Linked DNA regions of Oryctolagus cuniculus. The protein of the gene in region 6 purifies or fractionates together with the protein of the main gene of each other region. This does not show direct contact. Links are inferred from orthologs where the notes say so. Each region holds a gene or a part of one and is shown on either strand. Other genes may lie near its edges.

Region 1 (4,294 bases), on a different chromosome or scaffold from region 6:
CTGAGGACTCTGATCCCTCACACAGGGCCCCAGCTGACTCCTAATCTCCTGCAAGAGGCTGGTCTGTGTTGGCTCCTCACCAGCTGCCGCGAAGGCCCTAACCTCAGCCTGGCCCCCAGCCGGCGGCCCGGGGCCTCCACAGCAGCGTTGGGAGTTACAAGCCAGGTTCTAGCGGCCACAGCCATCCCGCCAGTCTGCTGGTCGTTGAAGAGAGCTCTGAAGGGTTCACCGGAGATGACACCCAGGCACCCAGGCCAAGCTCCAAGGCTCAGCTGCCTACTATGGAGGAGGTCTCTGGCCGCAGCACCACAGATACACACACCCACATTCACACAGGGGAGTCAAGCAGAAGCCAGATGGGGCTGCCCCCAGCCACTCCCACCAACTCCAACATCCTGGCCACCAAGATTGCCTCAGTAGGCAGGGAGGTGCCCAAGTCTGTGACCCACAAGTATCAGACACCCACCGTCTGACCACCCACGAAAGTCTCCTGTTCAGCAACAGGGCAACCAGGACAGACCGAGCCCTAGGACACACGAAAGGCCTGGACCTCGGCAGAGACCCCCAGGGCAGTAGAGACCTCAGACCAGACAACTTCAATAGCATAAGACAACACAGCAGGAAGGGGACTGAGCTATGGGTAGGAAGCCAGGGGCTGGGAGGGTGACCTGGTCAGCCAGGCAGGGGAGGGTCCTTCCTCAGCCACGGGGGGGGGGGGGGGGGGCCTGGGGCGTCGCAGGCGGCAGGCTGACTGCTCAGCAAGCACAGACCTGGGCAGCTGAGCCCCCGGGAGGCAGGTACTGCCGCACCACACCGCCTGCCCCAATGCTGCAGAGACGCCTACAGCCTGAGAGCTCAACCAAGAGGTGCAGGGGCCATGCGGTACCCCCAAGGACAGCCCATCCCCTTCAGGGACTCACAACCCACCCCAGGAATGGGCCAGCGGCAGAGGCAGGGGAGCCCCCATTCAGACCCCCAGGAAGGGCAGCCTCCAAGTGGGGTCCTGCAAAGAGAAACTACCCTCAGGGGAAGCCTGAGCCTGCCGGTCAAGGCCCCCACGCCTCCACTCCATGCACACACACTTCCCACATGCACACACCAACACGTGTGCACACACACACCTCTCGTTGCACCCACTCCTTGTTACGGGGAGCAGCATCACTGACACAGAAACCTGGCACCCCCCCAGCTCGCCTGCCTCCCCACTGCACTTCCCAAGCCAGCCATCGCTGGGACTGAGGGCAAGGCACCAGCAGCAGCAGCAGGGTGCCAGGGAAGGCGGGTCCCCCCACCCCCGGGCGGGGTGGGGGGGTTCAGGAGCCATCCGCGGTGGAGGTGAGGCAGAGCCAGTACCTGAGGACAGGAAGCCCGCACTCACCTGGAACGGCGGCAGCCGAGGCCTGCAGACTGCCCCGCTTCTTAAAGGGGTACTTGGCCTTGGGCTTGCCGGGGCCAGATGGATAGGATGCCATGGCTGGGGCCACGGCGACAGCGGGGGAGTCTGAGCCGCACCGGCTGGGGCCTGGCTCTGCCACATCCAACCCCTTCCTCCGCCCCGCCCCCAGCGGGAGTGACTGATGCAGGAAGCAGCGCCCCGCAGGCGGAAGAGGCCCTGGCCACGATTTCTGATGTTGTCTAGGCAACGTCGGCGAGTGGGGCCTCCATCCCGGCCCCTTAGCCCTCGAGTGACGCGACTGACGGCGGCCGGATCTGGGGGGCGGGGTGGAGACTACCAGATCGGGGAGGGCCGGCCTCCAGCTCGCCACTAACCGCACCCACACCCCGCCACCCCCCACCCCCGCTCAGGAAACCTCCCCCCGCCCCGGCCAGGGCTCCAAAGTCCAGGCTGGCTGGTCCAGCCAGCCGGAGAGCAAAAGACCGCCGTAAAGAGGAATCCGGCCGAGCTCGCCTAGTTCAGAACCCACTCCTCGCAGGGCAAGGCGGGGCAGGCGCGCTCCGTCCAAAACCCGGCGCCTCGAGGCGAGGCTCTGCCCCCTCTGCTCCTCCACCTGACCCCCGGCTCCAGGGGCAGCCCAGCTCACGGAGGAGGGAGTGGAACGGAGAATCCCAGCCCAGGAGGGAGGGGCCTGCCTTGGGAAAATTCCACGGACCGGCGGAAGCTACCTCCCAGGAAGCCAGGGGCTCTTCTGGGGTCTGGGGAAGGGACGCCCCGCCACCCCACCCCCAGCCGCTTCTGACTTTCCCTTCCACACTCGCTCCGCTTCCCCAGCCTCTTCCCGAGGTCCTGCAGATTGTGCCAAGACCCCCACACTCTTGTCACCCTGGCCACAGCACCTCTGAGTCCAGAGACCCTCGCCCCAACATACGCGCACACACTTACCCGAGGCCATGCTGCCTGAATCCCGAGGGGCACTGGGGGAGCCGCCCGCGAGGGTCTGCACAGCCGGGAAGCCCGGGTCGTGAGGGAGGGGAGAGGGGCTGGGCCCCAGACCCCGGCCAAGTCGCTCCAAAGGGCCGTGACCTGGCACTGGGTTGGGGAAAGTAGGGCAGTTTTTCAAAATTTCCAGCCGGCTGCGGGCGAACCGCAGCCGACCTCGGCCGACCGAGTGGCCTCGGGCAACCCCGGCGTCCCGACCCCCCAGCCAACGCACTGGAGAAGCGGGCAGGCCACGTGCTCCCCCAGCCAGCAGGACCCGGAACTCGTCCGGGTTTCTCGCAACACGCCTTGGGTATGTGGCGCCGGACTCCCGTGGCTGGCCAGAGGGGAACCGCGCAACAGGTGCGACCCCACCCGAACCCCAGCGGCGCCGCGCCAGTCTCCGTGGCCCCAGGCCCCGCGGCCCCGCCCCCGGGCTGGCCCCGCCCCGCCCCTTTTCCCGGGCGCCACGTGGGCTGCGAACTCCGCGGTGGGCCTGGCCCGGCGCCGGGTGGGGGGCGAGCTGTGCGCGCCAGCTTCCTCCTCCGTAAGGCGGGGGACGGAGCGGTGACAGCGCCGCGCTCTGGGGGTAAGCGGCGCTGGGCCCAGCGGGGGCCTAGGAAAGGGTAGCCGTGGTTAGCGGCTCGGGAGTCACTTGAAACCGAAGTGCGGCCCCTCGGGCGACGGCGTCCTCACCTGGGCCGCCCGTTCGGCTCGGGCGAGGGTGTGTCCTCCGATTCCATCTTCCCCCTCCCACGCTAACTTCTGTATTTGCCGGTTAGGCTCCGTAGCCCGAATTCCTGGGTTGGAATTCAGGACTTCGATCTCCTCCCTGGCTACCTAACTGCTTCGGTTTCTTGTGCTTTATATGCTGGTTGTTTAAGGTGAATGAGCTAACATAAGATAAGTGTGTATAACTGTGCCGGCCTGTAGTTACCCCTCAGTGTTCCTGCATCATCACTTCATTGGTTTGGCCTTGGACTTGGTTCCCAAGTGACACGCTCACGAGTTGATTCACCTTGCAGCCCATAAATTAGTGGAGCTGAGCTGTCTTGGGCACCGCAGGCACGCTGTCCGGCCGGCATCCTCACTGGGGAGGGGCACAGGAAGTCCCTAAGCGCTCACTGAAAGTCATTGTTATCCTGCCCCTGTGGGAGCCCTTTGCCCCCCACACCCAGCTGTGCTAACGCAGTCTGTCGGGTCCCTCCCAGTTCTCACCTCCCACGCAGCCAAGTTCCTTCCCAAACTCTGCCTCCCTCTGCCCTCCCCACACTGGATTCTGGACCCTGAACCCCATCCTCTGCCTGCACCTGGTGTCGCCTCCACTGATCCCTTGTCTCTTGCCCCACGCTTGGAACAAATTTAAACTCCATGGCTTTCGTAAACGTAGGGAGGAAATGCCTTCACCTTACAAAGAAAAAGAGAACCAGGAGATACCATGTTCACCAATCAAAACGGCAAAGCCTAAGAAAAACATATCAATGCAGGCAAGGGGATAGTGAAATGGGACACAGACACACACACACAGACTACCGGAGGCTATAAACATTGCTATTTGGTAGTAGATAATCAAGAATCTCATAAAGGTTCTTAAATCTGACACAGCTCTCCACCTCCAGGAATTTAAAAAAAAAAAAAAAACATTTATTTATTTGAAAGGCAAAGTGACTGAGAGAGGGAGAGACAGAAAGGTCTCCATAGTTCACCCCTCAAATGGCAACCATGGACAGAGCTAGGCCAGGCTGAAGCTGGGAGCTAGGAACTGCATCCTGGTCTTCCACATGGGTGGCAGGGATCCAAGCAGTTGGGCCATCTTCAGCTGCCCTCCCAGGCGCATTAAGGAGCTGGATCAGATGTGGAGCAGCCAGGATATGGGATGCCAATGTTGCTGGCTGAGCTGGACCCACTGTGCCATAA
Region 2 (3,945 bases), on a different chromosome or scaffold from region 6:
TCTGCCAGGGCTGTATGTCTATGGTGTATATCATTCATGCCGAAACTCAGCTGGGCAACATAACCCACGGAGTAAGGTGCCTACCTGTGCTTGTGACGTGTGGCCAAAAAAAAAAAAAGGTTCCTTATGCAAGGTCACGAGCCAGTGACTGTCGGGCGGCTGGGCTTACCTGGATTTCCACTGCGCGTGGCTGCCTAGAGGAGGCACTGAGACCCAGGGTTTCAAAAGGGGACGCCGCTCCAGGAGAAGCCAATAGTCACGGTGTCTCCTGTGCGTCCCTATCGCTCCTTTCCGTGCTCGTTTATGAAGGCGAGGCCTCGACCCGAGGCAGAGCCTTCCCTGTGGTGAACCAGAAATAGAAAAGCTAGATGCGGGGGAAGGATCAGCGGGCCAGACACAAACACAGCCGCCGCCGTTGCGTCCGGAGGCTCGGACACCCGGCTTGTTACCTAACCCGAGGTGGGGATGGGGAAGCTACATTTGAACCCGGGCGGCCCTCGTCCTTGGCCCTCTGCAGGGCCGACGCCGGGAACGACAGGAATTCTATGCAGGCCCCAGTGTAAGGACAGCCACTGCCATCGCCAAAGCCGCTCTCAGGGGAAAATGGCCCGGCTGCGTGCCGCGGCTCCTTTAAGGCCCCTCCCCGGCCGCCCTCCCTCGCCCACGTGATCCGGGGCGGCCGCGCGCCGGCTCAGCCCCCCGCGCAAGCGGCGATGGCGGCGGCGGCGGGAGCTGCAGCGGCGGCGGCCGCCGAGGTGCGGAAGGGGAGGGGGAGAGGCGGGTGCATGCCCGCGCGCGCGCCCGGGGGAAGCGCGCGCCCGTGCAATGCTCCGGGGGTGCAACGGGGCCGGGGGGCCCGGGCGGGACTTGCAGCAAACCGGGGGGCCAGCACCGGGGGCGGATGAGGGGACCAGGGGGTGGGAGGTGGGGGGAGTGGGCACGGAGGCGCGCATGCAGCCGCCGGCTGCCCCCGAGTGGGCGGCGGGTGCCGGGGCCCCAGGAGCGCGCGCGAGGGGCACGAGGGGCCGTCCACCGGGCTGGGGGGCAGCGGGCGCTGGAGGGGTTGGTGCCCGGGGTCCCCGCGGCCTGGGGGACAAAGGGGGAGCGGCGCGTGCAGCCGGGAGGAGGGGGCGGGGCCGGGGCGCTGAGGCCCCGCCCCCTCCCCCTCCTCTCCTCTCGGCCCCAGAGATGCGGGGTCTACCGAGAGGGAGGGGGTTGATGCGGGCCCGGGGGAGGGGTCGTGCGGCCCCTCCCGGCAGCCGAGGCCGAGGAAGAGGGGCGCCCCATAGAGGGAGAGGTAGGCCCCGGAGCCTCCTCTCTCTGCCCAGGGCCCAGGCTTCCTGGGCCCCCCAGCTCTCTCCCAGACTGACCAGCCCACCCCCTGTCCCTTGTCTCCCCTCCCAGGGGGAGGCCCCCGCTGAGATGGGGGCGCTGCTGCTGGACCAGGAGCCGCGAGGAGCCACCGAGAGAGGTGAGTGCAGCAGGAGCCGGCTGAGTTGGCCCCGGGGCTCTCCTGCCGCAGGGGCCCGGAACCCTTAGCCCTGAACTTTTTCTCTTCCTCCACAGTTCACGGCTCCCTGGGAGACACTCCTCGTAGCGAGGAGACCGTGCCCAAGGCCAGTCCCGACTCCCTGGAGCCTGCTGGCCCCTCCTCTCCGGCCTCTGTCACTGTCACCGTGGGCGATGAGGGGGCTGACACCCCTGTAGGGGCTACACCTCTCCTTGGGGACGAACCTGAGAGCCTGGAGGGAGATGGGGACCTGCCTGGGGGCCGAGTCCTGCTGGGTGAGAGGCTGGGGAGCCTGGGCTGTAGGGTGGGGGAACCGTCTAACCCTGCCTGCCTTCTCACCCTGTCCTCTGCCTGCCTCTTTGTCTCCCAGGCCATGCCACAAAGTCGTTCCCCTCGTCTCCCAGCAAAGGGGGTGCCTGTGCGAGCCGTGCCAAGATGTCCATGACAGGGGCGGGGAAGTCCCCCCCATCTGTGCAGAGCTTGGCTATGAGGCTGCTGAGTATGCCGGGGGCCCAGGGAGCTGCAGCAGCGGGACCTGAGCCCTCTCCAGCCACCACCAGCCCAGAGGGGCAGCCCAAGGTCCACCGAGCCCGGAAAACCATGGCCAAACCAGGAAATGGACAGGTGAGGATCCCGGAGTAGGACTGGGAGAAAGCTGGTCTTTTTTCAATTTAGCATTAGGCCTAGTCTCTTCCTTCCACACCTGGTGTTTATGAGGGGGCTACTTTGTGTCTGATATTCAGATGAGCCTGAGCACAGACTGCTCCCCAACCCCCTCTGGAGTTTGCATTCTCGGGGGAGGAGTGGTGAGAGTAGAATACAGATGTTAAAGAGTTAATTAAATAGCTAATGTCGTATTTACTCTTATGATAATGACCATGTAAAGGAATTTCTAACCACCCTTCCTTTCTACCTCAAAGCAAGCCCTGAGGGAATTTTTCTTTCCTTCTTTGAAACTGCCCTAATTTTTGTTGTTCTAAGATTTATTTATTTATTTGAAAGTCTGAGTTAACCAAGAGAGGAAGAGGGAGGGAGAGAAAGGTCTTCCATCCATTGGTTCACTCCCAAATGGCCGCAATGGCCAGGGCTGGGCCAGACCAGAGCCAGGAGCCAGGAAGTTCCTCCAGGTCTCCCCCGTGGGTTCAGGGGCCCAAGCACTTGGGCAGTCCTCCACTGTTTTCCCAGACACGTTAGCAGGGAGCTGGATTGGCAGTGGTGCATCCAGGACTTGGAACCGAGGACTGTATGGGATGCCAGCAACACAGGCAGCAGTTTAACCCCCTGCACCACAGCACCGGCCCCAAAACTGCCGCAGTTTTGTATGTAAAGTTTTCACTGAGAATCCCTACTAGGAAGGAGATGGAGGCCACAGAAATGTTGGCAGAGGGAAATGATGAAGGCTCCAGCATCCCAGAAGCAAGATTTGTTTACTATTCGGAAGGCAGAGATCTTCCATCTGCTAGTTAACTCCAGACAGTGCCGTGGCCGTGGCTGGACCGGGCAGAAGCCAGGAGCCTGAACCTCCATCCAGGTCTCCCCCGTGGGTGGCAGGGGCCCGAGCACTTGGGCCATCTTCTGCAGAGCTGCAGAGTGTTAAGGCTCTTGGTATTGTGTTCTGGGTGTGGTTTGGGTAGCCTCAGTGAAGCCTCTTTTCTCATGATAGAATAGGTATAATGTAAAGTTTGCCATCTAAACTACTTCTGTGGTATTAAGTATATTCATAATGTTGTACAACCAGCACTCTACATAATTTTCAGCTTATAAAACTAAAAGCTATGCCCATTAAGCAGTAATTCCCAGTGCCAGCACTGTGGCTATCTACAGTACTGGCATCCCATATGGGAACCAGCTTTTCTACTTCTGATCCAGCTCCCTGCTAATGCGCCTAGGAAAGCAGCGGTCTTCAAGTTCTTGGGCCCCTGCACCCACGTGGGAGACCTGGATTTGGCCTGGCACAGCCCTGGCCATTGCAGCCATTTGGGCAGTGAACCAGAGGATGGAAAAGGATGGAGATTCTCTTCTCCCCCTCTCTCTCTTTCTCTCTCTCTCCCTCCCTCCTTCTCTCTATTTATGCTTTTCAAAAATAATAAATCTTTTAAAAAATTAATAACTCCCCTATTCTCTCCCAAGCCCCTGACAACCGTTTTGTTTCTGAGTTTGAGGACTTAGAAGCTTACTTCACAGTTTGTGGGAAATGCATATTATGAAAACACTATGTATGGATTTCAAAATCTTTTATTCTGAAATATACTTGAAAATTTTCTTTTGATTTTATTTGAAAGGGAGAGAGACAGAGAAGTCTTCCATCTGCTTATTTACTGCCTAAATGCCAGGCTGGACCAGGCCAATGCCATGAGCCTGGTACTCCATCCTGGTCTCCCATGTGGGTGGCAGTGGCCCAAGTCCTTGAGCCATCAGCTGCTGCCTCCCAGGTC
Region 3 (3,500 bases), on a different chromosome or scaffold from region 6:
AAGCGCTCTCCGTAGTCGAACCTGGGAGGGGAGCAGGGCTCAGCACTCACCACACGCTGGACATGGCAAGGGCAAGGCCCCCGCGGGCACGCGGGGCGGTGTGGGATGGCCCGCACAGGCATACATACCCCAGCTGCTCTCCGGCCTCAATCAGGCGGGTGCTGAAGAAGGCGACCCTGGGGAAGCGCAGGTCCTGGTGGGACATGAACACACGCACCGGCACCAGGTTGGGCTCGCAGTGGTGGTTGATGAACCTGCTGACATTGCCGTAGAACCGCGCGTCGATGCAGTACACCTCCCCATCCTGGAGGGCGAGAGAGGACAGCACGCGTCTTCCCTGGCCTTCCGTCCACTATGGGCTCAGCAAGGCAGGGTCATCTGTGAGGTCCCAGTCACGGGAAACAACCTGAGACAGGTGGTGTACACGAGCCACACGAGCAGGCCCAGGGCTGCGACCACACACACAGCGCCCGTGGTGGCGAGGGCACGGGGCAGAGTCGGGAGATGCAGGACTTGCCGGCAGGACAGGAGGAGACACAGCAGATGGGACACCATCCCCGAGCCCTGCACCCCACAGCAGTGCCCCCAGCCTGACGTGCACAGCTTTGGCCTACCAGCAAACCCCTCACGGGCTGTGAGGTCAGAGACAGAAGAGCACTGTTCCAGAACCCAAGTCCCACGGGGGACAAGGCCTGCACAGAGACCACGCCTGGAACGCACCGTCATGTCCTCATGGACGTGAGCCACGGCCAGCACGTCCTCACAGGCCAAGGGACGCTGAAAGCCCTAACCAGCACAGTGCAGCCTGCACAGAGGCCAGTCTCTAAGCCCTCACAGCAGGGCTTTCAGGTGTCGGCTGCAGGCCTGGACAAACACCCGTCGACGCCCTAGGACGACAGACTCAGCAATGGCTACCGAGATCAGACGGGGTCATCCCACTTGGACCTTGTGACTCAGTGGTGTGGGACCAGGTGTCCAACCCTCTCTCCTGAAGACAAGGACTCTGGGATCTGCACTGAGAGACTGTGGACGGAGGCCTGACTGGCCAGAGCATGACCCCTGGGGAAGGACCACGGGGTGGGCAGCATCAGGGTCTGTGTGAGAGCAGCTGCACTGAGTGTGAGGAGGGAGGAGACCCTAATGGAGGGGAAGACCCCAAGGGAGACTGACAACAGGCAGAGACCAGCGTGGCTCACGGAGAGGCAGCTGCAGTCGCACCAATAAACAAAGAAATGGATCACACTCTAGAGAAAATCAGAATTCTCCCAAGTTATCATTAACAACCCAGATGAGCTGACACACTAGACAGCAAGACACGGACAAAGAGATGGGAAAATCGGCAGAGCTGGCTGTGACTGACGGACCCCGAGGCTGCCAAGGCTGCCCTCGGAGAGCCCCCACAGAGCTCGTTCTCTGCTGACAAACAGCAGCAGAGGAGTCAAATGGAAATCCTGTGCTGAGCGTGGCCGTGAGCTGCATGCCTGGACCACGGAGGGACGGAGCCTGAGGACTGCCTCTGGTGGTAACAGCGCAGCTCCGCCAGGCTGTTCCCTGGGAGGCACTGGCAGCAGCAGCCACGGCCGAGATCAACCTCACAGTCCCAAGCAGACTCCGAGGGGTCCCACGTCCACAGCACGACGCCATGTGCGGCGCGCTCGCAGAGGCGGGAAGCCGAGGGGTCCCACGTCCACAGCACGACGCCGTGCGCGGAGCGCTCGCAGAGGCGGGAAGCCGAGGGGTCCCACGTCCACAGCACGACGCCGTGTGCGGCGCACTCGCAGAGGCGGGAAGCCGAGGGGAACACGTGCAGAGAAGGGGGAGGAGCGCCGCCTGCGCCACGTTCTTCCTGCTGCACAGACGGCAGAACCGTGATCCCGTGCCTGTGTGGGAATCCCCATCCCTCAAGCTGAAGGTGTCGGGAGGAGGAGCCCCCGGGAGGTGAGTGGGCTCAGTGCTTCTCCCCTACACAGAGGAGGCGCTGGCCATGAGCAAGCGAGGGGCCCTCACCGGACACCACACGTGACGGTCCCTTGCTCGCAGACTTCCGGCCTGAGCTATGAGAAGAGCGTCTGGTGTCTGTTGCAGCAGCCTGAGCAGACTGAGAACACAGCTAACAGAAAACAGAACACGCAGAGCAAGGCTTCTCTGACTCGGAACTTTCTAGATTTTACCTTTAAAGCAAAGAAATACTTTGCATAATCAAAAAATAAAAAATTCCTAAATCTTCAATTTTGAAATGAACTAAAACAAATAAAGCTAACTGCACGCCAAAGCTTAGCCCAGCTGTAACTGACTGAGTCCCAGCAGCCTGCAGCAGGAGGTACCCACTTCTCAGGAGCGGCAGTGGCACTACTGATCGGAGTTTTCCACCATGAAAGATACAAATGTAATTGAAACTATTACCCCCAGCGCACTGGAGAACTCTAACAGCATGTTCTGAAAAGCCCAACGGCGCGGCTGCCACATGTCTGATGCTGATGGCAGGCGTCTGGCGTGCGTCTGGCGTGGTGGTGGTGACGGCTCAGGCCACTGCACCTCTGCCACCCACATGGGAGCTCCTGCATCATCAGCCTGGCCCAGTCCTGACTGCTGTAGACATCTGTGGAGTGAGCCAATGGACAGAAGCCCTTTCTCTCTTTCCATCTTGTCTGTCTGCCTCACAAATAAATAAATAACAATAATTTTAAAAGGTCATTCTCAGAGGAATAAAGATGGTGACCGAATGAGAGGCTCTGCTCTGGTGACTCCTCCCCCTGTAGAGACGCCCACGTACAGGGCCGGCCACACACACACACACCCCAGGTCAGGAACCTATGACTCTGGGGGTCCACGTGCGGCCAGCCTGCAGTCTGGGAGGTCAGGGCATGGGGTAGTGTCTGTGACACAGTGCTGGGCTGTTAAATCCCAGCACTGGGCAGATCCTGAGGACAGAGCTGGGCACACACACCAGTATCAGGCGAGACCTGTGTCCTGCCGAGACCAAACTGGTGGTGAGGAGCACTACTAGACTCTTGCAGGCCTGGTCTGCACAGAGCCTGGTACCTGTGGGACCCAGTGGGCCCTGCATCCACTGCCTAAGTGGCTAAGGAGTTGCCTTTATCAGCTGCCTGCAAGCATGGGCAGACACAGTAAGGAATCACACAACTGTTTTGGGACCCAGAGCCAGGCTGATGAGCAGATCCTCAGGGTCCCTGCCTCCAGGCCACTGCAGTGGTCACAGCCCAGCCAACATCACAGTGGTAAGGGGGTGACCGCAGCAGCAGCAGCACCTGGGCAGGTGAGCCACACTGGTCTTGTGGCTGAGGGCTTGGGATAGGAGCCGGCCACCCAGCATTCCTGCACACAGGACAGGAGTCTAACCTGGTGGCAGGCCCAGGAGTGGCCTGTGGGGATGGACCCACCTGGAGCACATCTCTACTGGGGTGCTCTCCAGCGCTGACACGGCAGAATAACCCTAGGCTCAGAGAGAACAAGCAGACTTCTCAGGACTTCTAGATGGA
Region 4 (3,500 bases), on a different chromosome or scaffold from region 6:
ACGTTAAACGCTGCAGCCGTTCCAGTCGCTGAATGGGCGATCACGTGGGAGGCAACTCGGCATCGACTCCTGGAGCTGACACTACCCCTGACCCGGCAATCCCCACCACAGGGCACTTACACGTGTGCCTCTATGGAGAGGTCTTTTGTGTTCATGGAAAACGAAATGAAAAGATGATTTTTGAAATCCATGCATGCTTTTCTCGGGGCAGGCAGTTTCCATGAATTTTTTGAGTCTCCCAGAACTGAGATACTCTGGATGATTGCACCATTATTTATAATAGTAAAAAAATATTGGAAATGAAATAAATATTCAGTAACAGGGAAACAGCAGCACGACCTAGAGAATATCTAAACAGTGTAGAACCCTGCAACTCCGCCCCCAGCCCTCTGAAGGCTGCAGCACCTGTCTCTTACTGACAAAGAAGGGCTCCAGGGCGCCAGACCCTCACGGGCGCCAGCTCGAGTCCTGGCTGTTCCATTTCCAATCCAGCTCCCTGCTACTGCACCTGCGCAAGCACTAGAAAATAGCCCAAGTCCTTAGGCCCCTGCCACCCACGTGGGACACCCAGATTAAACTCCTGGTTTTCGCCTGGCCTGGCCTGGCCCTGACCATTGCAGGCATCTGAACCAGCAGATGGAAGAACTCCCTCCTTCAAATAATTACATAAATATTTAAAAAAATAAAAAAGAGCTCCAAAATATATTATCAAATGTGGACAAACTAAGATGTTAAAAGGAGTGTATGGTGTGTTACTATTTGTGTACAGAAACTGGGTGACAATCATACTTGCTGGTGTATGCATAAGAGATACCAAAAATGGCTACAAAACCCTAATTAATGTTAGTTTTTATTAGAGTTGGGTGGCTAGAGGACATGGAACAAAGGCCAACTTCATGGAGTCCTCCATAAAACTGACTGCCTTTCACCATGACTGCATCAACCGTCCAGACACTGAGCAATGAAGGAGTGGGAGGCACACGGGTGGGTGCTCCTGGTGTCTCCGTCTTCGCTGTACTGAGAAGGGGGAAGGATGGAGAATCAGGGGAGTCCCTGGCAGGAGCGATGCTAAGTCAAGACCTAGAGCAGAAGACTGAGCAGCACAGAGCACCCAGGCCGAGACCTGGCCCAGGCAGCAGAGGAAGAGCCGTGACACGCGGCACACAAGCAGCAGTGTGAGTGCAGTGGGAAGGAGGAGGAGCAGCCTGCATGGGCCCAGGGCGTGGACTCCTGGGCACCTTGGCAAGAGGTCTGAGCTGCATTTTAGGTGCAAGGGGAAGGCGAAGAGTGGTTCAACGCAGAGAGAACAGTGAGCTCAGTCTGCTCGGTCAGCCTCACTCGGCTGCAGGGGTGAGAGTGGTGGTACAGGCCAACGGAACTGGGTGTACGACGACTCAGCAGAATGCTAGAGAGGGTATGAGAGGCAGAAAAGCCAAACACTCAGGGCCTACCACCCACGTGAGTCTGAGACCCAGATGGAGTGCTAACATAAGATGGCCCAAGTACCTGGCTTTGGCCTGGCTCTGCTCCGGCCACTGCAGGCATTTGGGGAGTGAACCAGCGAGTGGAACAGCTCTTGTCATGTCTCATTGTCTCTCTGCCTTTCAAGTAAAATGAAGATACATAAATCTTTAAAAACTCAGAAATAAAGGCACTGGGGCTCAGGGAAGAAATCTCGGCCAGAAGCAGATTAGGAATCACAGACGTGGTGGTGACTGCAGTCATCAGAAGGGGCGGGTCACAGGCTGGACCTCCAGAAACGCCAGGTGTCCAGGGGAACAGGAGAGGAGATGCTACAAGCCGGGTCAGTGAAGCAGAGGGCGGAGAAGTGGGGGTAGTGGACATTCTGCCATGGAAACCAGAGGTGGCCCTCAGAGGACAGGGAGAAGTCAACAGCATCCAACATGGCCAGGAAGCAAAACATTAGATGGCATTAGGCGTCCACTGGACTCAAGGGTGGCAGTGGGGCAGGAGGCAGGACACTAATGTGGCAGACCTTAGCCGGTGAGGAGACGGAGACGACAGTGGCCGAAGGCAGAGTCAGAGAGACAGGCAGTCAGACAGAGGTTCTGCTCAAGATGGCAGAGACCGGGTTTCATCAAATGTTGATCAACAGGAAATAAGAGGGAGAGGCCAAGAACAGGGTAGAGAGGGTGACCAAGAGCACAGTCCCAAGAAAGCCCGGGCGACAGGGGAGCAGGAGGCCCGCCCCAGCGCTGGGGAGGGTGAGGGAGAAATGTGGTCGAGTGCACACACGGAGGCAGAGCTCCCTCTCCAGGCAAGGGGAGCAAGGACTGCTAAGAGGCAGGAAGAGAGATGGTGACTGGAGGCGTCCTGGGAGCCTCCCGGCTGTGCCAGCACTTTCAGCCCGAGTCTGGGGAGTGGGCAGTGACCGGAACTACAGGCTGGCCTCCCATGTCACAGAGCAAGGCTCAGGGGGAACTAACTTACTACTTTACAGGAGTATTTAAATATTTTCACCATCACCATCTGCCTCCTCACCCCAATTTTAAACATTACTTCTTTAAAAGGTTTAAAAAGCATAGACAAAAACATGGGCTAAAATCTTATCACACAGACTCAGAATCCAGGAGTATGACGAGTACCAGGCCCTGGAAGGCAGAGGGGTAGTAGTTAAGATGGGGATCAGGGAAAGTCACCTAACCCAGGCAGTCTCAGACGTCGCTGAGACAGTAAATAGGTGAACACAGGAAGAAAGCATGCGGGACAACAGGTGCACACCCAACAGCACCAGCCAGCCCTTCACAGGAGAGGCGCTGCAAGAGCCAGATTCCACAAGACAAACAGGGGCACATGAGGGAGTCATTCTAGAGCCTCTGCGTCCAACGCGGGCGACGTGAGAGCTTACCTGGGGACTGTGTGTCTCGCAGTCCATGGCCTGGACGGCGGCCGTGAAGTGGCCCCCGCTGTGCCGGTGCTGATGTGTTGGATCCGACCTGGCTCGCCCACTGTTGCTCGTCCCCGATGATCCACCTTCAACACCACGACACAAAGCAACTTGTGACTTTAAAACTCAAAGCACACTTGAGCAGTGCATATAGTATACATGTATCAAATTATCACACTACACAAATAGGTACAGTGACTGCCAATCAAAAATTTTTTATAATTAAAAAATTTAAATATTAACTTTAAAGTATATCGTAAAGTCATCAGTTTCTCTAAGTTCTCCCAAATCAACCACTGAGCCAGGGCCAGCATTGTGGCACAGCATGTTAAGTAGTTAGCTGCAACACTAGCATCATACAGGAGAGCCACTTCCAGTCCCAGCTGCTACATTTCCAATCCAATTCCCTGCTAACGCACCTGGGAAAGCAGCATAAGATGGCCCAGGTACCTGGACCCCGGCCACGCATGAGGGAGACCCGGATGGAGTTCCAGGCTCCTAGTTTTGATCTGGCCCAGTCCAGCTGTTGTGGCCATTAAAGGAGTGAACCAGCAGATGGATCACTCTGTAATTCTTTCAAATAAATAAAATA
Region 5 (3,500 bases), on a different chromosome or scaffold from region 6:
TTGTCATTGCAGCCATTTGAGAAGTGAGCCAGAAGATGGAAGATCTCTGTTTCTCCTTCTTGTCGCTCCCCCTCTTCGTGGAGGAACGACACAGGACCCTGCACTGTTCTTTTGTCTGCTCGGCCCTCCCCGGGTTGGCTGCCGTCCCTTCCACCTCCGTGGAAGGGCGGTTCCCCCTGCCACATTCCCCACTTCCACAGGGGAGCGGCACACCGCCGGCCGGCTCTCTCAGGGGCTGCACACGTGTTCCCCTTAGATGTTCCCCTTAGATGTTCCTGGTGCATGCCGTCTCTCTCCTCCTTTTTAGTCCTCCTCCGCCAATCCTAACTCGGCTGCCCACACGCCGAGTACACTGCTCTCCTCCAATCAGGAGCAAGTCCTACAGTTTATTGGCTGAACTGGAGGCAGCTGTGTAGAAGCTGTTTTCTTCTCTCCCAGCGCCATATTGTGGGAGAGCAGATGCATAGAATAAATCTTAATTCCAGTAACTTAGTCTAGTCTGAGTTGCTCCCCACACTTCTCTCTCTATAATTCTGCCTTTCAAATAAATAAATAAATCTTTTAAAAAAGGAAAATATTATTTTCTGATTTCAGCAGCCTATTTAAATTTATCCTGAATTTTTATTCTGTAAATATGTTTTGATTCATTAAACTTATTTTAATTTTATAAATCAAGTTAGAACTTTCACTGCAAGTAAAGTTTTTTTTTAGTCTTATCTGTTGATTTTAGTCATGTTATAGAAACACCTGTTGAACACACACATAGTTGCCAGGAACGTAAAGCTAAATAAAACACTTAAGCTGAGTAAAAGTCAGCATGCATTTTAGGTAAAGAGTAGAGTGACAGATTGAGTATTTGAACCAAGGCCACAAATGAATTTAGACTTTCAACAGAAAACTAATGCTCTGCCTATTAACAAGTAGAATCTTCCCTAGTGAATATAAAAATATCATTTAAGAAGACAAAAATGAGAGAAAACACAACCTTCTGATACGATTTTGATTATCTGATCTCTTTCCTCACAAAATTCATATTTTATAACCACATTTCTAATCATTTGGAAGGATGCATGTAAAAGAGGTCTTCAGGGAGTTTATGGGAAAGGTGTGTTGTGAGAAAAATATGCATGGACTTCAAAAATTTTTTCACCAAAGTAAACTTGTCTTTTCATTCTATTTCCTGTGAACTCACAGCAGTATCCTTGTACCAGTCCGCTTAGGCTGCCTTGACAAAGTGACACAGATTGGTCTGCTTAGAACAGTAGCAATGCTTATTTTCTCACGGGTCAGGAGACTGGGTGTCCAGGAGGTTGCTCTTTCTCACTGAGCTGCCTTCTTGCTGTGTCCTCCCGTGGTGGGGAGAGATACCTCTCTCTTCCCCTCTTCCCATTGGATTAGGACTCTACCTTTATAACCTTCTTTAACCTTAATGTCTTCTCTGAAGATCTTATCACAAAACACAGTCACATTCAGGGTTAGGTCTTCAACACCTGCATTTTGGAGGGTGCAACTCAGTCCATAGCAGTGCACAGTTTTCCAGTTGATATCAATACGTATCTCCTGAGTTACTTTGTTATTACGTTAGTGCAGAACACAAAAATGGAAAATATTCCAGAAAAGTCAGTGTCTTCACATACCTTTCTATAAATGATGCCATCTTCAAATCCGTTGAGTTTGGAACGGCTGTCTCCAAGTAGATTAAAGTTTTCAGTCCCTTCTTCCCCCCATAAAACTGGACATGATTTAATTAGGCTAAAATAGTGCACTTCGGTGATTTCCCCTGATCCTGCTTAGGGCAGAGGAGGAGATTTAACAAATCTATAGCATAAAGTCTAGCCCTGCTTTGAACTTAAGCTTGCTTTATTTTTGTGAGGAATTTTTAATGCACTTAAATGCATTTTTTTAATGTTCTCCTTTTATGTATTGTGTGTGTGTTCTCTGCAGACTCCCAGGCCTTTAAACATCATTAAACAAAACAACGGTGAGCAGATCATTAGGAGAAGAACAAGAAAGCGCCTTAACCCCGAGGCACTTCAGGCTGAGCAGCTCAACAAACAGCAGAGGGGTAGCAGTGAGGAGCAGGTCAACGGGAGCCCGTTAGAGAGGAGGTCAGAAGATCATGTAACTGAAAGTCACCAGAGAGAAATTCCGCTCCCGAGCCTAAGCAAATACGAAGCCCCGGGTTCATTGACTAAAAGCCATTCTGCTCAGCAGCCAGTCCTGGTCGGCCAAACTCTGGATATTCACAAAAGGATGCAACCTTTGCACATTCAGATAAAAAGTCCTCAGGAAAGTACTGGAGATCCAGGAAATAGCTCATCCGTATCTGAAGGGAAAGGAAGTTCTGAGAGAGGCAGTCCCATAGAAAAGTATATGAGACCTGCGAAGCACCCGAATTATTCACCACCAGGCAGCCCTATTGAAAAGTACCAGTACCCACTTTTTGGACTTCCCTTTGTACATAATGACTTCCAGAGTGAAGCTGATTGGCTGCGGTTCTGGAGTAAATATAAGCTCTCCGTTCCTGGGAATCCGCACTACTTGAGTCATGTGCCTGGCCTACCAAATCCTTGCCAAAACTATGTGCCTTATCCCACCTTCAATCTGCCTCCTCATTTTTCAGCTGTTGGATCAGACAATGACATTCCTCTAGATTTGGCGATCAAGCATTCCAGACCTGGGCCAACTGCAAACGGTGCCTCCAAGGAGAAAACGAAGGCACCACCAAATGTAAAAAATGAAGGTCCCTTGAATGTAGTAAAAACAGAGAAAGTTGATAGAAGTACTCAAGATGAACTTTCAACGAAGTGTGTGCACTGTGGCATTGTTTTTCTGGATGAAGTGATGTATGCTTTGCATATGAGTTGCCATGGTGACAGTGGGCCTTTCCAGTGCAGCATATGCCAGCATCTTTGCACGGACAAATATGACTTCACAACACATATCCAGAGGGGCCTGCATAGGAACAATGCACAAGCAGAAAAAAACGGAAAACCTAAAGAGTAAAACCTTAGCACTTAGCACAATTACATAGAAATAGGTTTTCTTGATGGGAATTCAATAGCTTGTAATGTCTTATGAAGACCTATTAAAAGAAATACTTCATAGAGCCTGCCTTATCCAACATGAAATTCCCTTCTTTTTATTATTCTTTCTTTCAATGAGTAGGTTACCGAGACTAAAAAGTGAGGCAAATGGTCAGTGAGAAAGAATGGAAGATGGCAAACAATCATTTTTTTTTAAAACCTACTAAGTTAAAACCATCTTGACTGATGTGCACTGGGGAAGTGATCTGTAAGAAGTACCACCAGACGATAATTGCTGTGTTTATAAAGAAAGGTAACACCTGGCTAGAATTAGAAAGAATTTACACATGATGCAAGTAAAGCAGTATTGGGCTGGCCATTGGCCCATTGGTTCAAAGATCCACAGATTGTTGCCTAAATTTAGAAGTGTCATGAAATCCTAGGCAGATGAGGAGAAGTCAGATCTCCAAGGCA
Region 6 (3,500 bases):
TGTGTTACGTGTGACATGTGCAGCGTGTGGGATGTGTGTGCCGCATGTGGGGTGTGTGTAGGGTGTGGGACGTGCGCCCCCACCAGGCCGCAGCCTGTGCTCCCGCGGCCGTGTCCACCCCGGCCGAGCACGGGGCGATGGCCTGCACAGCTGAGGCCGGGCCACCCTGCCAGCTGGGTCGTGGGAATGGAGCCTTGTCAGGGCCCCGGCTGTGCCCAGGGTCAGCGTGTGCGCCCTGGACTCCCGTGTCACGTCCCAGGACCACGCGCGTGCTGTGGGCCGTGGGGACAGCGTTTCTGGGTGGGTTTGTCACTGGGGACTCGTGTGTGTTTCAGGGCTCACCCCTGCTGGGGGTCACGGCCAGTGGCCCCGTTCCTGCTCCACTGCTGTCTGGGCTCAGGCTTGGGCCACGGCTCCTCAGAGCCCCCCTTTGCCGTGGCTGTGGCCCCCCACGGTGCTCAGGGCTGGGGGCCCTGCTGTACCCCACGCTCTGCCCCCCGCCACAGGTGCTGACGAGGCCGTGGGCGCCCTCGTGTACCCCACGCTCTGTCCCCTTCCCCTCCCCCACAGGTGCTGAACGAGGCCGTGGGCGCCCTCATGTACCACACCATCACGCTGACCAGGGAGGACCTGGAGAAGTTCAAGGCCCTGCGCGTCATCGTCCGCATTGGCAGCGGCTTCGACAACATCGACATCAAGTCAGCCGGGGACTTGGGTAGGTGCCCGTCCCTGCCGCCCAGGCCCCGCCCCGCGTGGGGCTCCCACAGGAGTCCGCAGCCTGGGGCTGGGCTGACTGCCGTGTGGCCCCCGAGTCAGTCCCACGCCTGTCACGGGCCAGGCTGACCCTGTGTCCCCACAGGCATCGCCGTGTGCAACGTGCCCGCCGCGGCCGTGGAGGAGACGGCGGACTCCACCATGTGCCACGTCCTCAATCTGTACCGGCGCACGACGTGGCTGCACCAGGCGCTGCGGGAGGGCACGCGGGTGCAGAGCGTGGAGCAGATCCGGGAGGTGGCCTCGGGGGCCGCGAGGATCCGCGGGGAGACCCTGGGCATCATCGGACTGGGTGCGTGGCCGCTGGCTCGGCAAAGGATGGGGGGCAGCCCGGGGGGGCGCCGTGGGCATCACACACGCACATACACAGACGTCACGCAGATGTCAGCAGCCGTCACGGGTGTCACACACACAACATGGACGTCACACACAGGTGTCAGCAGCTATCACATCACATACACACATGGATGTCACACTCATGTCAACAGTTCTAACGGGCATCACGTGACACGGGCACAAGAACATCACAGGAATGTCACGTGCGTCACACAAATGACAGGCACACGTGGGTATCACATGGGTGTCATGACACAGGGACATGGGTGTCCCATGAACATCAAGGCATCACACGGGTATCATATGCAGACGAGATGGCCATATGTGGGCATCACATGGGTATCACAGGCATGATATACCTGGGCACCACGCCTGTGTCACAGGCATCACGTGGGTGTCATGGGCACACACGTGGCTGATACGAGCACAGGGACACGGCTATCGGGCACACAGGCCTGAGAGTTGTCACACGTGGGGAACACGTGGGCGTTGCATGGGCACAGGCACCAGATGTGCAGCCAGGTGGGTGCTGCCATCAGGTGAGGGTGCCCAGAGCCTGTGCCCCTGGGGGTGGTCTCTGTCCCGTCCGCTTCCTTGTCACGTGTGGGCGCCAGGCCCCAGCATGGCCTAGAGAGGCACACGTGTGAGTCTGGGTGGCCCCGGAAGTGTCGTGCAGGGAGCCGGGGCTGGGAGAGGGGGTCCCGTGTGAGCCCCAGAAGCCGTCTCGCGGGGCCTCAGGCCTTTCTCTGGAAGGCGCTGGCCCTGGCTGTGGCCCCAAGCCTGGTTCTCGGCCGGGCATTGCGCTGACCAGGGGTACGGGCTGTATTGCCTGGGGGTGGGTGGGTGCTGTGGCTGTCCGGGCCTGCCCCTACTGGCGGCGTCCTCCGGGTCCCTGGCACACGCGATTTGCAGAACGGGCAGAAGCTGGGCTGTGGGAGGTTTGCTGTGGACACACGGCCTGTGGCACGGGCAGCTGTGGCCTGCGGGGCTCCTGCCGTGGTCTCGGCATCTGGGGTGCCCTGCTCTGGCGGCCAGTGTCCAGTGTGGCCTGAGCCTGTGGCCCTCGGTGTGGTTCTCCTGAGCCTGGGGCCTTCTGGGAGCCGAGGGCTGAGGTTCTGTGTCCGGGGACGCCCCCGAGTGCCGCAGCCCCACTGGGCAGACCTGAGCCCTGCCCACGCCCCTGTGTGTGCCCCTCTGTGGGTTCCACGGGTGACCCATGTGATGGCCACTGCTGGCCAAGTGGAGCAGCTGTCTCCCTGCTGCTGCTGGCACGGGGCACCTCTGCACCCCATGCGGGTCTGAGGTGGGGTCGTGACCTCGGCACCCTGTGTGTTCCCCAGTCGGGCAGCGGCTTCAGGTGTCACTCAGGACCTCCTGCTGGTGAAGGGGACCCCACTGCGTGACTGCACCCCTGTGTGTGTGTGTGTGTGTGTGTGTGTGTGTGTGTGTGAGGGAGAGACAGGCAGAGTGAGAGTGACAGAGACAGAGCGAGCGTGACCGAGACAGTGACAGACACAGACGGGAGAGTGACAGAGCAAGCCCCATCTGCCGTTCACCCCCCAGATGCCCGCACAGCAGGGGCTTGGCTGGAGCCAGGACCAGCAGCTCCGTCCAGGCCCTGTAGGTGAAGGGCTCAGCGCTGGGGCCCTCTCCTGCCCCCACCCCCGCCCCCGCCCCCAGCACTGGCAGTGCCCTGCGCCCCGCCCCACCGGTCCTTTACCCATAGCTGCAGAGAAAGTTCTAGAACCATGGCTGGGGCTTCACGGGGGAGGCCTCTCCTGGCCGTGCCGTGTGCACTTTTCCAAATGTCTGAGACCCCACCCCTGCCCTGCTGTGGGGGCCCCAGGATTTCTTTCTTTCTTTCTTTTTTTTTTTTTTTTTTTTTAAGTTTTATGTATTTATTTGAAAGTCAGAGTTACACAGAGAGAGGAGAGGCAGAGAGAGAGAGAGAGGTCTTCCATCCGCTGGTTCACTCCCCAGATGACCTCAACAGCCGGAGCTGTGCCGATTCAAAGCTAGGAGCCAGGAGCTTCTTCCGGGTCTCCCACGTGGGTGCAGGGGCCCAAGGACTTGAGCCACCTTCCACTGCTTTCCCAGGCCATGGTAGGAGCTGGGTTGGAAGTGGAGCAGCCGGGACTGGAACCGGCGCCCATATGGAATGCCGGCCCTGCAGGCGGCAGTTTTACCCGCTCTGCCACAGCGCCAGCCCCCTGGGTATTTGTTACCATGCCCCAGACCCCTCAGCGGCTCCTGGGACCCTGGCCCACGTTTTGTGAGTTGGGGTCTCCACCCCCGTGCAGACGGCCCCTGCTTGCAACTCATCCTGGAGGTTGCTGCACCTGTGTGTCTGTGAGAGACGTGGGTTCCGGAACGCTCCTGCTCTGGGTGGC
Region 7 (3,500 bases), on a different chromosome or scaffold from region 6:
CACCTCTTAGAAACTTGGATTTGCTTCAGTGCTCTGATGTTAAATATGCCTAGATTTCAGTTTCCTTCTATTGCATAACCCTGTGTGTTCACAAGTTTTCCTTTGGTTTGACGGCAGGCTTCGATGGCTGAGAATAGTATACCTCTCTACACTACTGCTTCCATGGGAAATCCCACTCTGGGCAATTTAGCCAGCGCAATACGGGAAGAACTGAATGGGGCAATGGAGCATACCAACAGCAACGAGAGCGACAGCAGTCCGGGCAGATCCCCTATGCAAGCCGTGTGAGTACTGTCCACTCGAAAAGCCTTGGCTGCCAGGCCCCACCCAGCCGCTTTGTTTTATGTGTGCACAAGCCTTCCTGTGACCTCTGCATAGGCTTGTTTTATAATTTCTGATTTCCTAGGATCCAGGTAAAAGGTTGTGCTTCCAAAGAAATGTTTAGGTCAGTGTACATATGAAAAAGGGCAATCTGCTAACTTTCTCATAAAAATAGTTTTATCCTGCCCTAAAAGTGCATACAACAGTAAAGCGGGAGATAAATGCACTATTGCCGCCCTGTCCTGTTTTACATCTCAGGCCATTATTTAAGCCACACTGCCTTTTTCTCCTAAAACCAGTTTGTATCTCTATGCAAAAGTTTGTAATTAGTTCAACTTTCAGGCATGCTGAATCTAGCAGGGAGTAGAGGTGTTTACTTTTCTATGTGATAAGCCTCACCAAGAATGCAGGACTGCAGCATTATTACCAAGCATTAATGATGGCACAAATGAAAGGTGACGTGATTTATAGATTGCTCTTAAAATATCAAAAGGAAAATTAATAGGAGCATTACAGCAGCAGACGGCAGTGTAACGAGTGCACATACAACTGAATGAAGTGATGGGCAGCGGTTGCCCACGCCGAATGGGAATGGCACCGGGATCAGGCAAACCACAGGAACGGCCCAGCCACAAGGCCGAGATGCCCCTGGGGCCCAGGAAGAGCTTCAAAAGAGAAAAGAAACCTTATTATCCCAAATGATTTGATTTGCAGGGGGTGGTGTGGAAGGACATTCTTCCTTGTAGTCAGTTTCCGGGAAACTCTTGCCCACTTTAAGGGAGTAAGCCAGTTCAGCATTTCCAGTAGTGTCAGCTCCTCAAACGGGCCTCTTGTCTACCATTCTTCCTGAATTACTGATCAACATCTTATTTTAAGATGTGAGTGATGCGATGGAAAATATGACCTGTAGCAATTAGGAACAGAATGAACTGGCATCTAGTGACAAAGAAAAAATGCTATCTGCCAACATAATTGGAGGGTATAGGGGAATCTGAAATTTGATTTTCCAGCATTTGAATTTCATGCCCAACGTGCTTTGAAAAGGATCTTTGAAACATGGCAATAATCATTTTTAATTGATATGAACAGTCTCTTAGCATTTCCTTCACAACATTTTCAGATTGTGTTTATCTTTCACACTGCTGCGGCTGTGTTTCATCCTTTCTAAAGCAACCTGCTGTCTCCCCGACTTTATTGTTATCACAATCAGATTCATCTTTAAATCATTCTCAGAACAGAAGTATTTACTCAGATATTAAAGAAGTTCAGAGCAAATGTAAACTGGCATATAAGCAAATTCCATAAAAACTCATTAAAGCAAAATGTCTAAAGTTGCCGAATGGGAAAGATACTAGTTCTCATAATCTGTATACCTCTGAGGGTTAGCTGATGTATGTTCTTGTTATATGACACAAAGGTTGGCTGTTTAAAAAGAGACAATGTTTAAATACAAGCCTCCCAGGCAACAGTGTAAGGGGATGCTAATTTTGCTGTGCAAAATAAAATCACTATAAAGTTAATTTGTATAACAACTTTGTTTTCCGTGATGCTGGAGTTAAAACAATGTTTTACAGCAGTCATCATAATTTTTAAAAGAAACTGTATGAAGATGTCAAAATGCGTTGCTCAGTTTGCTAAGTGTAACTATGTGAACAGCAGACTCCCTGTGCCTATGACACCGGTAGTCTTTTTGACCATATACTTATCCAAAATGCATTACCCTGATGTGATGCAAACAGTGTTCAAGGGTTCCCATCGAACTTTGCAGCAGGGCTTACAGGACCTTGTTAGGATGGCAGCCCAGCTAATAGCTCCGTTGCAGCAGTTCAACTCTTCATTCTTGCTTTATCCATGACCCTCTAATACACTCTACTGCATTTGTCTCCTGAAACACTAGTCAACTTTATTTAAAAACTCTTGTCTTCCCAGAGTGGCTAAACCAAGGAATTACTCAGTTGGGAGGAAAGGGCAATGTGTGGCTTTGCAGCTACTCACTGGTTAGGCCTTTGGAGGCAGGTGCTAGAGAAAGCAAGCAGGGGTGGGGAGGGGTCTGCAGGGGAAGAAGGTGCCGTAGGTGAAGCACAGCAGCCTACGGAGTCTGTGTCTTAGCTGAAACTTACCTGACATGGAAATCTATTCTGCTCACCCCCTGAATCACTATAGGCTTCTGTCACTAAATTTGCCACTCAGATATCTGCGGGTCTGGAGAAATGTCCTGAAATTGAAATTAATAGCTAACATGATTGTGTTGGCAGGTTGTCACACAGATCTAGTCATTAGTATTTGCTGGGGATCCACAGGGTTAGAGCTAGCACTCTGTGTCTTTGGGATAGTACGTAATTGTGAATTTTCACTGCCAGTATTGGGAGGAAGGGGGAGTATTTCTCTGATGTTGTGAACTGTGTTCTGTGGGAGCCTTCCATGTATCTAATGTTTTCTTAGCTTAGCAAAACATTTGTCAAAGTCCAAAACTATAGAACAAGAACTTAACATTATGACTTCTTTCTTCTCCTATCTCCCCACAAAGCTTGATTTTATCTTATGCCATCAGATTGTGGTTTCTAAGTATGAAAAAAAAAATTTCAGATAGTTTGAAAAGTGAAGAGAAAATGCTGCTATAGAAAATGAAATTTGAACCTCAATACGTGGCTAAGTAAAATAAAAATTCTTACCCAATGGCTATTATGAAGTAACAGTTCTCTACAATGATCCTGAAATGTTCACCATTGTCATTAGTTCAAGAAACACAATTTATATTAACCTCAATTTATCTTATACCTAAGCAACAAAATATTTTTTAAATATGACTAGGTGTCCTGATGAGATTGAGTAGACAAAGGTACAGCCACTTTGGAAATTAATAATTGCAATAAATATCATAAGAACCATAAAGATGTTTTGGCCTTTTCCCCAGCAATTCCATTCTTAGACATTTATCCAAAAGAGGTAAATCAACAAACAGAAAGATTAATGGATAAAAAGGTCTTTATGTTAACAGTAAAAGGATGAATGAAAAGTGCCTAATATTAATACACAGAGGAATCCCCTATCACTGTTAAAATTATAACTGTCAAGGCTGCAAAAAAAAAAAAAAAAATCCCTGCTTTATCTACAATGTAAGACATACTATGGGAAGAGAAAGGCAAAAGCAAAAATCTGATCTCAATTAGGGGTCTACT

The links.
Region 1: the proteins of CTBP1 (region 6) and AMPD2 purify together in Homo sapiens (affinity purification with mass spectrometry; 3 studies listed by BioGRID and IntAct, with this or other methods). This does not show direct contact. The link is inferred for Oryctolagus cuniculus from reciprocal best matches to the Homo sapiens genes CTBP1 and AMPD2.
Region 2: the proteins of CTBP1 (region 6) and EHMT2 purify together in Homo sapiens (affinity purification with mass spectrometry; 4 studies listed by BioGRID and IntAct, counting the BioPlex papers as one, with this or other methods). This does not show direct contact. The link is inferred for Oryctolagus cuniculus from reciprocal best matches to the Homo sapiens genes CTBP1 and EHMT2.
Region 3: the proteins of CTBP1 (region 6) and EHMT1 purify together in Homo sapiens (affinity purification with mass spectrometry; 3 studies listed by BioGRID and IntAct, counting the BioPlex papers as one, with this or other methods). This does not show direct contact. The link is inferred for Oryctolagus cuniculus from reciprocal best matches to the Homo sapiens genes CTBP1 and EHMT1.
Region 4: the proteins of CTBP1 (region 6) and DYRK1A purify together in Homo sapiens (affinity purification with mass spectrometry; 4 studies listed by BioGRID and IntAct, with this or other methods). This does not show direct contact. The link is inferred for Oryctolagus cuniculus from reciprocal best matches to the Homo sapiens genes CTBP1 and DYRK1A.
Region 5: the proteins of CTBP1 (region 6) and TRPS1 purify together in Homo sapiens (affinity purification with mass spectrometry; 3 studies listed by BioGRID and IntAct, counting the BioPlex papers as one, with this or other methods). This does not show direct contact. The link is inferred for Oryctolagus cuniculus from reciprocal best matches to the Homo sapiens genes CTBP1 and TRPS1.
Region 7: the proteins of CTBP1 (region 6) and FOXP1 purify together in Homo sapiens (affinity purification with western blotting; 3 studies listed by BioGRID and IntAct, with this or other methods). This does not show direct contact. The link is inferred for Oryctolagus cuniculus from reciprocal best matches to the Homo sapiens genes CTBP1 and FOXP1.

What each region holds. Positions count from the first base shown.
Region 1 is NC_091438.1:60,791,596-60,795,889, forward strand, and holds the start of AMPD2 (AMP deaminase 2), read right to left. Parts: upstream 2,801-4,294; 5' UTR 2,614-2,800; coding exon 2,613-2,613; intron 2,597-2,612; exon of another isoform or gene 2,489-2,596; coding exon 2,342-2,488; intron 1,676-2,341; exon of another isoform or gene 1,538-1,675; coding exon of another isoform or gene 1,373-1,537; intron 1-1,372. UniProt on the Homo sapiens protein: AMP deaminase plays a critical role in energy metabolism. Catalyzes the deamination of AMP to IMP and plays an important role in the purine nucleotide cycle.
Region 2 is NC_091436.1:138,643,127-138,647,071, forward strand, and holds the start of EHMT2 (histone-lysine N-methyltransferase EHMT2), read left to right. Parts: upstream 1-1,145; 5' UTR 1,146-1,188; coding exon 1,189-1,471; intron 1,472-1,566; coding exon 1,567-1,785; intron 1,786-1,880; coding exon 1,881-2,134; intron 2,135-3,945. UniProt on the Homo sapiens protein: Histone methyltransferase that specifically mono- and dimethylates 'Lys-9' of histone H3 (H3K9me1 and H3K9me2, respectively) in euchromatin.
Region 3 is NC_091432.1:237,927,273-237,930,772, reverse strand, and holds part of EHMT1 (histone-lysine N-methyltransferase EHMT1), read right to left. Parts: intron 305-3,500; coding exon 129-304; intron 22-128; coding exon 1-21. UniProt on the Homo sapiens protein: Histone methyltransferase that specifically mono- and dimethylates 'Lys-9' of histone H3 (H3K9me1 and H3K9me2, respectively) in euchromatin.
Region 4 is NC_091435.1:7,445,262-7,448,761, forward strand, and holds part of DYRK1A (dual specificity tyrosine-phosphorylation-regulated kinase 1A), read right to left. Parts: intron 2,995-3,500; coding exon 2,870-2,994; intron 1-2,869. UniProt on the Homo sapiens protein: Dual-specificity kinase which possesses both serine/threonine and tyrosine kinase activities. Exhibits a substrate preference for proline at position P+1 and arginine at position P-3.
Region 5 is NC_091437.1:140,958,932-140,962,431, reverse strand, and holds part of TRPS1 (zinc finger transcription factor Trps1), read left to right. Parts: intron 1-1,944; coding exon 1,945-3,006; 3' UTR 3,007-3,500. UniProt on the Homo sapiens protein: Transcriptional repressor. Binds specifically to GATA sequences and represses expression of GATA-regulated genes at selected sites and stages in vertebrate development. Regulates chondrocyte proliferation and differentiation.
Region 6 is NC_091433.1:411,761-415,260, reverse strand, and holds part of CTBP1 (C-terminal-binding protein 1), read left to right. Parts: intron 1-570; coding exon 571-715; intron 716-859; coding exon 860-1,066; intron 1,067-3,500. UniProt on the Homo sapiens protein: Corepressor targeting diverse transcription regulators such as GLIS2 or BCL6. Has dehydrogenase activity. Involved in controlling the equilibrium between tubular and stacked structures in the Golgi complex.
Region 7 is NC_091441.1:78,271,887-78,275,386, forward strand, and holds part of FOXP1 (forkhead box protein P1), read left to right. Parts: intron 1-117; coding exon 118-284; intron 285-3,500. UniProt on the Homo sapiens protein: Transcriptional repressor. Can act with CTBP1 to synergistically repress transcription but CTPBP1 is not essential. Plays an important role in the specification and differentiation of lung epithelium.